3 linked regions of the Canis lupus familiaris genome follow. The protein of the gene in region 2 binds, or shares a complex with, the protein of the main gene of each other region. Links are inferred from orthologs where the notes say so. Each region holds a gene or a part of one and is shown on either strand. Other genes may lie near its edges.

What was found.
Region 1: the proteins of TNNI2 (region 2) and TNNC1 are in contact, whole or in part, in an NMR structure (PDB 2MKP), measured with the Homo sapiens proteins. The link is inferred for Canis lupus familiaris from reciprocal best matches to the Homo sapiens genes TNNI2 and TNNC1. Residues at the interface, in NP_001139301.1 of Homo sapiens: Arg116, Met117, Ser118, Ala119, Asp120, Ala121, Met122, Leu123, Ala125, Leu126, Leu127, Lys130, His131, Lys132; in NP_003271.1 of Homo sapiens: Asn18, Glu19, Phe20, Ala22, Ala23, Ile26, Val44, Met45, Met47, Leu48, Gln50, Pro52, Glu56, Phe77, Met80, Met81, Cys84, Met85, Lys86, Asp87.
Region 3: the proteins of TNNI2 (region 2) and TNNC2 are in contact, whole or in part, in a crystal structure (PDB 1A2X), measured with the Oryctolagus cuniculus proteins. The link is inferred for Canis lupus familiaris from reciprocal best matches to the Homo sapiens genes TNNI2 and TNNC2. Residues at the interface, in NP_001076252.1 of Oryctolagus cuniculus: Glu5, Asn8, Arg9, Ile11, Thr12, Arg14, Arg15, Gln16, His17, Leu18, Lys19, Ser20, Val21, Met22, Leu23, Ile25, Ala26, Glu29, Leu30, Glu33; in NP_001076114.1 of Oryctolagus cuniculus: Ser13, Glu15, Met16, Ala18, Glu19, Ala22, Lys91, Leu96, Glu98, Cys99, Arg101, Ile102, Phe103, Arg105, Ile119, Phe120, Ala122, Ser123, Glu125, His126, Val127, Glu131, Ser134, Leu135, Asp138, Phe152, Met155, Met156, Val159, Gln160.

What each region holds. Positions count from the first base shown.
Region 1 is NC_049241.1:37,720,321-37,723,946, reverse strand, and holds the start of TNNC1 (troponin C, slow skeletal and cardiac muscles), read right to left. Parts: upstream 2,746-3,626; 5' UTR 2,639-2,745; coding exon 2,615-2,638; intron 1,069-2,614; coding exon 1,038-1,068; intron 833-1,037; coding exon 686-832; intron 220-685; coding exon 105-219; intron 1-104. UniProt on the Homo sapiens protein: Troponin is the central regulatory protein of striated muscle contraction. Tn consists of three components: Tn-I which is the inhibitor of actomyosin ATPase, Tn-T which contains the binding site for tropomyosin and Tn-C.
Region 2 is NC_049239.1:46,531,064-46,534,689, reverse strand, and holds TNNI2 (troponin I, fast skeletal muscle), read right to left. Parts: upstream 2,654-3,626; 5' UTR 2,542-2,653; intron 2,098-2,541; exon of another isoform or gene 2,064-2,097; intron 1,942-2,063; 5' UTR 1,920-1,941; coding exon 1,912-1,919; intron 1,737-1,911; coding exon 1,730-1,736; intron 1,217-1,729; coding exon 1,175-1,216; intron 1,081-1,174; coding exon 952-1,080; intron 830-951; coding exon 740-829; intron 637-739; coding exon 460-636; intron 332-459; coding exon 236-331; 3' UTR 137-235; downstream 1-136. UniProt on the Homo sapiens protein: Troponin I is the inhibitory subunit of troponin, the thin filament regulatory complex which confers calcium-sensitivity to striated muscle actomyosin ATPase activity.
Region 3 is NC_049245.1:33,759,912-33,763,537, forward strand, and holds the start of TNNC2 (troponin C, skeletal muscle), read right to left. Parts: upstream 2,649-3,626; 5' UTR 2,528-2,648; coding exon 2,525-2,527; intron 1,104-2,524; coding exon 1,052-1,103; intron 929-1,051; coding exon 785-928; intron 697-784; coding exon 582-696; intron 446-581; coding exon 309-445; intron 178-308; coding exon 146-177; 3' UTR 1-145. UniProt on the Homo sapiens protein: Troponin is the central regulatory protein of striated muscle contraction. Tn consists of three components: Tn-I which is the inhibitor of actomyosin ATPase, Tn-T which contains the binding site for tropomyosin and Tn-C.

The sequences.
Region 1 (3,626 bases), on a different chromosome or scaffold from region 2:
TCCCATTGCACAGAGTGGGAAACTGAGGCCTTGAGGTCACAAGACTGTCCCCCTTTCCCCACCTCTGCAAGAGTCAGGTCAGAGATCCTGGGTCATGCACTCACTTGTCAAACATGCGGAAAAGGTCGGACAGCTCCTCCTCAGACTTTCCTTTGCTGTCATCCTTCATGCACCGAACCATCATGACCAGGAACTCATCAAAGTCCACTGTGCCACTGCCTGCAAGGTGAGCAGCCCAGCCATCAGTGAGGGATGGTTAGAATGCTCTTGACACTAAACCCCTGTGCTCTTGCTGCGTGCATTCTCTCTCTTTTTAAAAATATTTTATTTATTTATTCAAGAGAGACAGAGAGAGAGAGAGGCAGAGACACAGGCAGAGGGAGAAGCAGGCTCCCTGCAGGGGAGCCTGATGAAGGACTCGATCCCGGGACTGCAAGACCATGCCCTGAGCCAAAGGCAGCCACTCAACTGCTTAGCCACCCAGGTGCCCTGCTGCATGCATTCTCATAGCAACTCCGTGAGACGAGTGTGGTCATTATATCCATTTCAGAAGATGACACGATTGAGGCTCAGAGAGGTTAAAAGTTCCTTCGAGGGCACAGAGTAATAAGTGGCAGAGCCAGGATTTGGGGCCCAAGCACTGGAGGCTGATGTGGGTCTAGGGTCTGGGGGGCAGGGGGCTCACCGTCCTCATCCACCTCGTCAATCATCTCCTGCAGCTCCTCGGGTGTGGGGTTCTGGCCCAGCATCCTCATCACCTTGCCCAGCTCCTTGGTGCTGATGCAGCCATCTTCGGCGCCCAGCACGAAGATGTCAAAGGCTGCCTTGAATTCTGTGTCCAAAGGGAAGGAGGGGAAGATAGAGTGGTCAGGGCTCAGAAGCCAGGATCCCAGAAGGCCAGACCTCTGGGGCCATCTGCCAACTGCCTTTTCCCTCCAAGACCTCTGAGGTTGCGGTGAGAGGGACCCCGGCCTCGGGGGTCCTCATGCTCCCCCAGCCTGGCCCTGTCGTACCCCCACATATGTTGGAGCACTCACCATTTTTCTGCTCTTCTGTCAGCTGTTCTACCTGGAGAGAAAAAGAGGTCTCAGGACTGATTCAGGACTTGGCTGCTATTAAGGAAATCAACCCATTCCACAGATGGGGAAAGTGAAGCCAGGAAGAGGCAGGCCATTCCCAGGTCACAGTCCTCAGTCCTCACTCCCTGTCCCCCGAAGTCCTGAGGTGACCCAGCTGGCCTCACTGAGGCTGGGCTTAGGGCCAGGGTGACAGGTGGGCGCCCCTTCCAGGGCCAAGGTGACCCCGAGTAACAATAGTCAGTGACCACTCAATGCCCTTTCGGCTCCCTTGGTGAAATCCAAGCTGGGTGGCCTGAGGGACAGCTGTCCCTCAGGTTGGGACAATAAAACCAGTGTGGGGATAGGCAAAGCCACCCACTGTAACCTGACCTGGACGGCCACTGGGCTATTTTTAACGGGGGACAAAGTTAAACCTGGTGATTGTTCTGGGGACTCTGGCATGCAGGGGGTGGGGCAGCATTATCTGGCCCCCTGGCCTGCTGGTGCCTCAGGAGCCAAAATTAGTCCCCAGCCCCACCAGGCCTTGTATGGGCACAGGGTGGAGGGCAGCTCCCTCCCCCGCCAGCTCTGTGGACTCCTGTAGGACAGGCAGGGACAGCCCTAGAGCCAGCTCTAGCTCTCCCCTGCCCGGAAGTGAGGCTGCACTCCACTCTCAGGGCTGAGGGAGGGGTTCCCTTGGGGACAGTTGTCTATGCCGAACATCCTTGCCTCTGGGACAGGGGGAGGTCAGCAACACCACCTACTCCTGGGAGGGACTAGTATCTGAGGCCCCTCAGTGACCCTAGGACGCTGCAGGGACTCAGGGTGACCACTCTCCAGCCCTCACCCCTGGCTAAACCACTGACCCCTGAGCCCTCCAGGCCTGATTGGGGTGGGGGCCCTGGTTCTTGATTCCTTTTTCCCTGTGTCTCCCCCATGCTTAGCGCTTCCCTGCCTACCTCAAACCTCTAAGCCCCTTTTCCAGCTCAGGATTCTGGATCACCAGCCCCCTTCTCAAACTGTCCCACCCTCCACAGCATCTTCAGCCATCCAAGGAGCTGGAGGTAGGGGGTGGGGTGAGGAGCAGAATGTGAGGGGCAGAAACGGAGAGGGGGATGAGGTGGGGACAGGGAAACAGAAGCAGAGACTCAGAGGGACAACGAGGAGGAACAAAGAGATAGAAAGAGACTGATAAAGGCAAAGATCCAAAAACCACAGACACAAGTGAAGGGAGATGTGGCTGGAAGATAGTGACACAGACTACAGACACTTGGAGACAGGGGCAGACGTGATGCTAAAAGTTATGACCTCCTCCACCCTCCAAAAAGCTCCTCTCCAGACCTTGAACCCCTCACCCTAAACCCCTCACTCCTTCTACACCCTGGAATTAGAATGCCAGATCCACCATCCATCCCCTTGAGGGCCTGGGCTGAAAGTTGCATGGGCCCTCTCCCAGGTCCCCACTACCTTTGTAGAGTGACCTCACCCCCCATCGTGAGTTGAGTGAGGCCCCAGTGGGCCCATCCACCCCAGCCCTGCCCAGCCCAGTCCCTCACCGCAGCCTTGTAGATGTCATCCATGCTGGCGGCTCACAGGGCAGGCTGCTGGGGTTGCCAGCCAGCCCTGGGCTTAAATAGCCCTGCCCCACCTCATTCCCCGCCGGCCCAGCCCACCCCAGCCTGCAGTATCCTCCACCCCCTCCCCCAGCCCTGGTGATCTCAGGCTGGCCTGAATCCCTGTGTCCTCTGCCCAGTGCAGGGAGCAGATGAAGGGCTGCAAAAGGACCACATCTTTTTCCTTCTGTCCCCCATGGTTCCTAGGGGACTCTCTGGAAAGTCTTCTTGAATGAAAGAAAACATAAGCCAAGAACAGGACAGGTGCTGAAAAATAGTGGGCCCCAGGCCAGGCCCCTACACACAGAAGTTCAATTCTTATCCAATCAGGAAGATGGGTAATATTCCCATTTTTCAGATGAGGAAACTTAAGCTCCTGGAGGGCTGGTGATTTGTTCGGAATACGTCTGACTTGGCAGCCCCCGTCTTAAGCTAAGCCTGTTGCGGAGGGAGGGTGCTGGCCAGCAGTATGCAGCAAAGAGAGGCCCTTTCAAGAGAAGCTTCGAATGCCAAGTTCAGAGTATGGCGTTGTGTAACCACCGGAGAAGGAAGTCATTCACCCACGTTAGCACAGAGTGCTCTGGAGCCCTTGGGCCCAGGGGTGTCAGAGCATCCATAGCCAAGACCTCTCATCTCCCCAGGGAGAACAGCACTAGCTCTGGGTGTGGGTAAGCTGCATTTGGTCATTCAGTGCACACATGTACAGATGCCCCATCCGTGCTAGACTTTTCCCCTTCAGCTGGGTTACCATCCCCCTCTTCCAGGTGGGGGTCTTCCCCTGGGTTAGGGCTCCATCTCTGTGTCTGTGCTTCCCCATTCCAGTACTATAGTTTCTAGGGCCAGGGCCAGCCTGTTAGCCCCAACGGCCAGCGCCCATCCCTCCCTCCCACCCCCCTGCGGAGCCCCGTCTCCATAACCACACCAGCTCCCTGCCTCGAGTGCCGGGCACTGCGTG
Region 2 (3,626 bases):
CGCCCCCAGCATGGCCTGCAGGCCCGGCGGCCTCCCCGCTGCCCTTACCCCGGGCTGTCCCCAGCACGCTGCTGTTTGCTGGGTGCCTGGAGGCCATCTGTGGGCTGTGAGGCTGGGCAGGACCAGACCAGACCAGTCACGGGGATTGGAATCCTTTATTAACCACTGAGACGAGCCCTGTCCTCCCACCCTCTGCGGGGGGAGGGCCGCACCGGGCAAGAGGGTGGCAAGTGGCCTAGGACTCAGTCTCAAACATCTTCTTCCTGCCCTCCATGCCAGACTTCTCCTCGATGTTCTTCCGCCAGTCACCCACGTCACGCAGGTCCCGCTCCTGGGGACAGGTGCAATGGGGCTTAGGAAGGCACTGCAGGCCGCCCTTGGCCTCAGTTTCCCCCTCCCGGGGCCCAGAGCCCAGCCGTGGTGGGGGTCTGCTCAGTGGGCTGGGGAGGTGCCGCGTACCTTCTCGGTGTCCTCCTTCTTGACCTGCTTCAGGTTGGCCCTCAGGTCCATGCACACCTTGTGCTTGGAGCCCAGCAGCGCCTTGAGCATCGCGTCGGCAGACATGCGCACCCTCCTCAACGGGGGCCTCTTGAACTTGCCTCTCAGGTCGAACAGCTTCTGGTTCATGTCCTCCAGCTGCGGGGCAGAGGTTAGGGCTGGGTGGGTGGCAGTGGCTGCAGGGCCCCCTGCTGGTCCGGGGAGCCCCTCACCCGTCCACGCCCACCCCATGCCTGCTTACCTCCTTGGTGCTCTTCTGAACCCTCACTTCCATGTCATACTTCTCCTCCTCGGCTGCGTCGATCTTGGCGTGCAGCTGTTTGCAGAGCTCCTGGGGTGGGGGCAGCAGGTGGGGTGGGGCAGCTGTCCACCTGACCTCCACCTACCCTACCGGCCCTCTTGACCAAAGGGGAAACTGAGGCAACAGGCCAGAGCACCGCTCGGGGAGGGTACCTGCACTTCGGACATGGAGCCGGGCAGGTGCAGAGGCGGGCAGTGCTCAGACAGGTAGTTCTGCTTCTCAGACTCACGGCGACTCTCTTCTTTCTCCAGCTCCTGGGCGGCAATCTGGAGCATGACACTCTAGAGGGGCAGGGAGCGGGGGGCAGGCGGTGAGGGACTGTGGTGGCCCAGTCCCACTGGCACCCTGGGATGGCCCTCTCCAGGGAGCACCTACCTTCAGGTGCTGTCTCCGGGCCGTGATGGCCCTGTTGCGTTTCTGCAGGGGAGGGGGCAGGAAGCAGAGTCAGGGCTAGTTGGGGTCCCTGGCACCCCCACATCCCTCCACGCTTGCTCCACCAGGCCTGTGGACCCTGCCTGGATGCAACTGAACCGGGGTGGGGGGGTCCCAAGGCCCTGCTGGGGGACCGGGCCCAGGACACCTGTGACCAGGTGGCGGGTGAGGCTTAAAGGCTCAGGGAGGTAAAAGGAAAAGGGGCGGTACCTCAGGGGCAGGGGGAGGGGCAGGGGATCCCTGCAGGGCCCAGGAGGTGGGGGGCAGCCTCAGAAAGAAGAAGCGATTCTGGTGACCAGGCCCCAGCCCCACATCCCCTGCCCTGTGAGACGTGGGTAGCCACTTCCTGTTTCATTGAGTCTGGGTGGCTGGGTGGGGCACTCTCACGGGGGAGGGCTGGGCAGCTGCCCCTGTGCTCTAACCTATGACCTATCCCAAGTCAGGCAGGTCCCATCCCCTCTGTGTTTCATGCCTCCCCCCCCCCCAGCAGGTACTCACCTCCTCACTGTCCCGGGGAGGCAGGGGGGTTAAGGGGAGAAAAGAGACAGGTTAGGGACATAGATGGGACAGTATGATGGGGGAGTGGAGGGTGGTCAGAGCCAGCCGGGGAACTGTAGAGACCCCCGCCTGGTGGGGAGGGTGGGGACAGCAGGGGGCCCCCAGCTTTGGGCTGCACTTACTCCCCCATCCTGAAGTCCTGGGCTTAGAGCCTGTGGGAGAGAAAAGGCATGGGTGTGAGGGCCATGGCCCATCCTGCCCTGGACGCTGGTTATCCAGGTGGGGGCCACCCTGACCCCAGCCCTCTGCCTGTTGCCCTGCCCCCAGCTCTGACCTCCTTGGAGGCACCATCTTGGGATTCCCAGGGTAAGAAGAGGAGAAAGTGTTCCTAAAATGTCCCAGGCGGGGCCCGGGTTGTTGCAGCTGTCCCGGGGGGGCGGGACGGGCCAGCACAGGTGGCCACGAGAGCCTTCCCACTATTTTTAGCTCTGCTCCTTCGGCTTTGGGCCCAAGTGCATGCAAGAAAGTGCTCCCCGCTTTGGCCTGGGGTCCCTCGACCCATCAGATCTCCTCCCTGTGTCCCACCCAGAAGGGAGGGCTGGTGATCTGGAGGCTGTCCACGACCCCTGGCCACCCCCCACCCCAGCCACCTCCCAATGCATCGCCATCTGGCTCCAGGCTCCATGGAAGCCACCCCCCCTGAGAGGGCTGCTAGAGGCGGCCCCCAACCCCCAGGACCCCACCCTGGGTCGTCCTGGGAGCTAGCTCAAGGAGTGCCTGTCCTCGGCCTGGGCTGGCCGGGCTGGCCTCACCTAGTGTCTGGGCAGCAGGGCCGGGAGCGAGGTCAGGCCGGCAGCGGCAAGTTGGGCTGGTGGGCCCAGGGGGAGGGGTATAAATGGCCTCCCCAGGCTGGGCCCCTGCTCAGAAAGGGCATGGAGCCCTCCTCAGACCAATGGGGGCACAGGGGCCTCCCCACCTGCCCAGGCCGCCCGGCCCGGCCCAGCCGCGTGCTGTCGTCCCGTCCAAGAAGTCTTGGTGGGGGGGGGTGCTGAGGCTGGGCTGCTCTATTTAGAGCTCAGTGACATGTTCGAGAAGCCTCCCTTGTTCTTGCAAGGAGCCCAGGGTCAGCTGTACATGGCCTTGCTGGGCCACTGCAGGGCAAAAGCTCGAGGTCGACTGAGAGGTCACTCAGGTCCTGAGCCCGGGGCCACTCCTCAGTTTTCCCTCTGCTTCCCCGGGGGGGGGGGGGGGGGGGGGGGGGGGGGGGGGGCGGGGTGTGTGTGTGTGTGTGTGTGTGTGTGTGTGTGTGTGTGCGCGCGCGCGCGCGCTGGGAGCAGCCCCCGCAGCTCACTGCTGCCTCTTAGCCAGGCCAGGTGCCCCAGGCATGAGCCTGCCACGTCCTGTCCTTTCTCCAAGCCGGCCCCAGCTCCGGGGCAAGGCCTGAACCCCCCAAACATGGCCCGTGGCGGTGGCCAGGGCCTCCGAGTGGGGGCTGCCCTCCCCCGGCTGAGATCCGGTCCTCCTGGGAGCGGGAGGGAGGGTGCCTGGACGTGCAACCGGCCGGAACACCCTGCCCTGGGGTGGTTCCTGGCTCACTCGGAACCCGTCCTTCAACCCGGGGATGGTGGCACCACCCGCCTGGGAACCTCTCCCTGACCCGAGGGGCCTGGGGCCTGCCTGGCTGCCCGGGCAGGCCCGGCGCTGCTGCCCTTCTCACCCTGGCCCGGGCCTGCGCCCCCCGCCCGGGGCCCCCACCCAGCAGAGACATCCGGACAACCATGACTTGGCATCCTCTGAGCTGGGGGTGCGTGGCCCCAGCCCTGCCGGCCTCACGGGCCGTGGGGAGGGTCAGGGGGAGCTAAAGCCGTCCAGATGTGTGGGGATTAGAGCTGCATTC
Region 3 (3,626 bases), on a different chromosome or scaffold from region 2:
AGTGTCTGCTTTTATTCCCCTGCACACAGAGCCCGCAGGGGCCGCGCCTCCCTCCTGGGGCTGAGGCCGTGACGGGGCGGGGCGGGGGTGCCGGGCCCGCCCTCGCCCGAGGGACGCGCGTCGGGGCGGATGCGGGGGCGACTTCTTACTGCACGCCTTCCATCATCTTCAGGAACTCTGCGGGGATGGAGCGCGGAAGCGTCAGTCGCACGCACCGCCGGGGCTCCCGCCCTGCGGACAAAGCCACGGACGGCCGCGTGGGAGCCCCGCCCCGCGCCCCGCGCCCCGCGCCCCGCGCCCGCCCTCACCGTCGAAGTCGATGCGGCCGTCGTTGTTCTTGTCGCCGTCTTTCATCAGGGACTCAATCTCCTCGTCTGTCACGTGCTCCCCGGAGGCCCTGAAGATTTCAGCCAGCTCCTCCGCATCGATGTAGCCGTCTGCGTTCCTTGGGGCGAAGGGACAGGGTGTCAGGACAGGCGGGGGCGAGCCGCCCCCCACACCCCCACACCGCCCACCCGCGCCGCCTGGTCCGCGCACTCGCCCAGCCCAGCGCCTTCTCGGCTCCCCAGCCCTCAGTGCACCTGTCGAAGATGCGGAAACACTCGGCCAGCTCCTCCTCGCTCTTGCCCTTCGCATCCTCTTTCATCTGGCGCACCATCATGACCAAGAACTCCTCGAAGTCGATGGTGCCGCTGCCTGAGGCGAGCAGGTGGCGAGTGAGCCTGAGCCCTGCGGGCCCACCCCGCCCGCCGCAGTCGCAGCCCCTGGAGGGCCACCTGCTCACCATCCTCGTCCACCTCCTCGATGATGGCGTCCAGCTCCTCTTTGGTGGGGGTCTGGCCCAGCATCCTCATCACCGTGCCCAACTCCTTGACGCTAATGTCCCCGCCACCATCAGCGTCGAACATGTCGAAGGCAGCCTTGAACTCTGAGCGAGGCAGAGGACCGAGGTGGGCCTGGCTGGACTGTCAGCCTCACACCCTCCCTCCCACCCTGCCCAGCCCCCAGCACTGCCCAGCACGCAGCCACCCGCCCGCCGGCCCGCACTCACCAGCGATCATCTCCTCGCTGAGGTAGGACCGGGCCTCCGCCTGCTGGTCCGTCTGCAGGAGACACAGAGTCAGCCAGCAGAAGGGGTGGCCCCAGAGCTCATTCTTGCCTTAACCCCCTTCTCTTCAACCCCTTTCTGTCAGTGCCCTTTGGTCTTCCAGAAGAACAGTTCCAAACTAACAACACCTTCTGCATGCTCCCGCAGCACCTGAACCCCAGTTTTGAAGAACAAGGAGGAAACAGATTATGCCCAGGGTCTCCAAACCTGCTAATCAGATGTCAAGTCAGGAATCCCCCTTTCTAACCTTGGGCAAGTCACTTATTCTACTCTAGCTCTTCTCAGCTGCTTTTCAAGAATGAAAAGATCAGAGACGTCAAAGAGTTTTGTAAAGTACCAGCACTATTCCAGCATCATTTTTCAGTGTCCCCCAGCTCCCAGTAGAGCCTGGTACTATAATAGGGGCTCAGTAAATGTTCTCAATAATGCAAGGCAGAGTCATTGAGCCCCAACTAAGCGTCAGGCCAGACACTGGACACTGAGGCCAAGAAGACCCAGACACCCATCCCTTCCCTCCGACAACTTGTGGAGATGGAGATTTTAAGCTCCCTTCTTATCACTTAGCCATTGGAGTAAATCATAATCATGCTGGACAGAATATAATGGGGGCCTTGTGGAGGTGGAAATAAGATTTCGGGGGAGGCGATCTGGCCACATCCAAGCCAAGCCATCTGGCTATGGGACTTTGGACTGAGGCTGGCGGGGAGGAGGGGCTGAGGTGGCCAAGGCCTTCTTCGGCGGCCAGCTAGCCACTGCCCTCCTCCTTACCCTCCCCTCCTCCCTCCTCCTTGACCATGCAGGAGGGCAGGCTATTTTTAGCCTGGCATGGGCAACAGCAGCTGTCCTGTGGGGTCTAGTTACCCCTTGAAGTGGGGAGAGGGACCTCAGGGGAAATGACCTCCCTCTCTGGGAGGCTGGGGTCTCTAACCTTGGTCTATCATCTTCTGCCCCTTCTCTCCCTCATAGCTCTTGGGATCCTGCACCTTAGCTGGCTTGAAGCTCTGTAGGCCTCCCTTCTTCTAGAGGACTCCTCTCACCGGCAGTAGGATGATTTGGCAAGACCTCCAGCTAGCTCACCCCAGCCACTGGCTTGCTAGGTGACTCACTCTGGCCCTCAGGGTCCCCACCTCCACCGTGAGGGAGACAAGCTAACACCCCCCTCACAATTCCGTGGCCAACACTGCCAAAGCCTTAGGTCTGCAGGGAGTTGGCAATCCCAGAGCACCCAGCCCTCCCCTTCCTAGAGAAGTCCAAGGCCTTCTTCCCAGGCTTCCTCCTAGACATCTAGGCTCCAGGAGCCTACATGTTCCATCTTTAAACGTCCAATTACTGAACTACAGAGCACCCAGATCTGGCCTGGAAGAGGTCCAGAAGTGCTCCAGCAAGCAAAGGGATGAAGTTCCTTCTTGTCCTTACCATGGTTGCAAGTCACTGGGCCTCCCCTGCTTCAGGTCAGTCACCTCCTCAGCACTCCACCACCCAAAGATACCCTGGCCTGCTCCAGCACCTTGGATTTGTAGGGGCACCCTCTCCTCCCACCTCTCTGCTCCCCAGGACTAATTGCCCTGGCCAATCAGATCCTGGGGTCAGTGAGCACCTCCTCCTTTCCTCCCCCACCCCCATTCCAGAGTCCTGGCCCATTACCTAATTTAGCCAAGGGCCCTTGCAGAGAAATTTAAGCCTGTGAGCAGGTGGCAGGCCTTGACGTCCTAGATTCTTGGGAGAAGAACCCGCCCTGCTCCACTGCTTTAGGGAGCCCCTGCTCAAGAAACACGCTTGCTCCAAGATGGGTGAGGATAATCAGAATCCAGAAAAGTTGAAGCAGCATGGCAGACAGGAAAGAGCACGAGCCTTGAAGTCTTAAACCCAATACTTTCTTTGCAAGCTGTGTACTCTTAGGCAGGTGACATGCCACTCTGAGCTTCAGTTTCTGAGCTTCAGTTTCCTTCTCTGTGAGGTGGAGATGGGGACAGTCATGACCCGCCCTCACAGAGAGACCAATGAGAAATGGGGCCCAGGTGTAAGTCGCCGAGCTTGTGCCTGCTCTATAGGGTTGGTGCTTGGCAAGTGGAATGTCCTGTCTGAACCATGCTAGAGGGCAGGGGAGGGGAGGAGGAGAGAATGACAGCCAGTCACTGAACCTCTAGGTTCACACTCCATGCTAAGCATTTTAACCATGTGATCTCACCTAGTCGTCATCTATAGGGGAGAAGCTATTATTATTCCCTTTTTACTGGGGAGCTTTGTTAAATCACAAAGGTCTATAGTCATGTCAATGATTCTTATTATTCCTGAAGGGAAGTTGGGACAGCCAGGAGGGGACCTGTCCAAAGGAGAAATCTACAGATCCAGGAGATGGGTATGCATTTGGAAGAGAAATAAACATTGAGGGATGCCTGGGTGGCTCAGCAGCTGAGTGTCTGCCTTTGGCTCAGGGCATGATCCCAGTCTAGGGATGGAGTCCCACATTGGGCTCCCCACAGGGAGCCTACTTCTCTCTCTGCCTATGTCTCTGCCT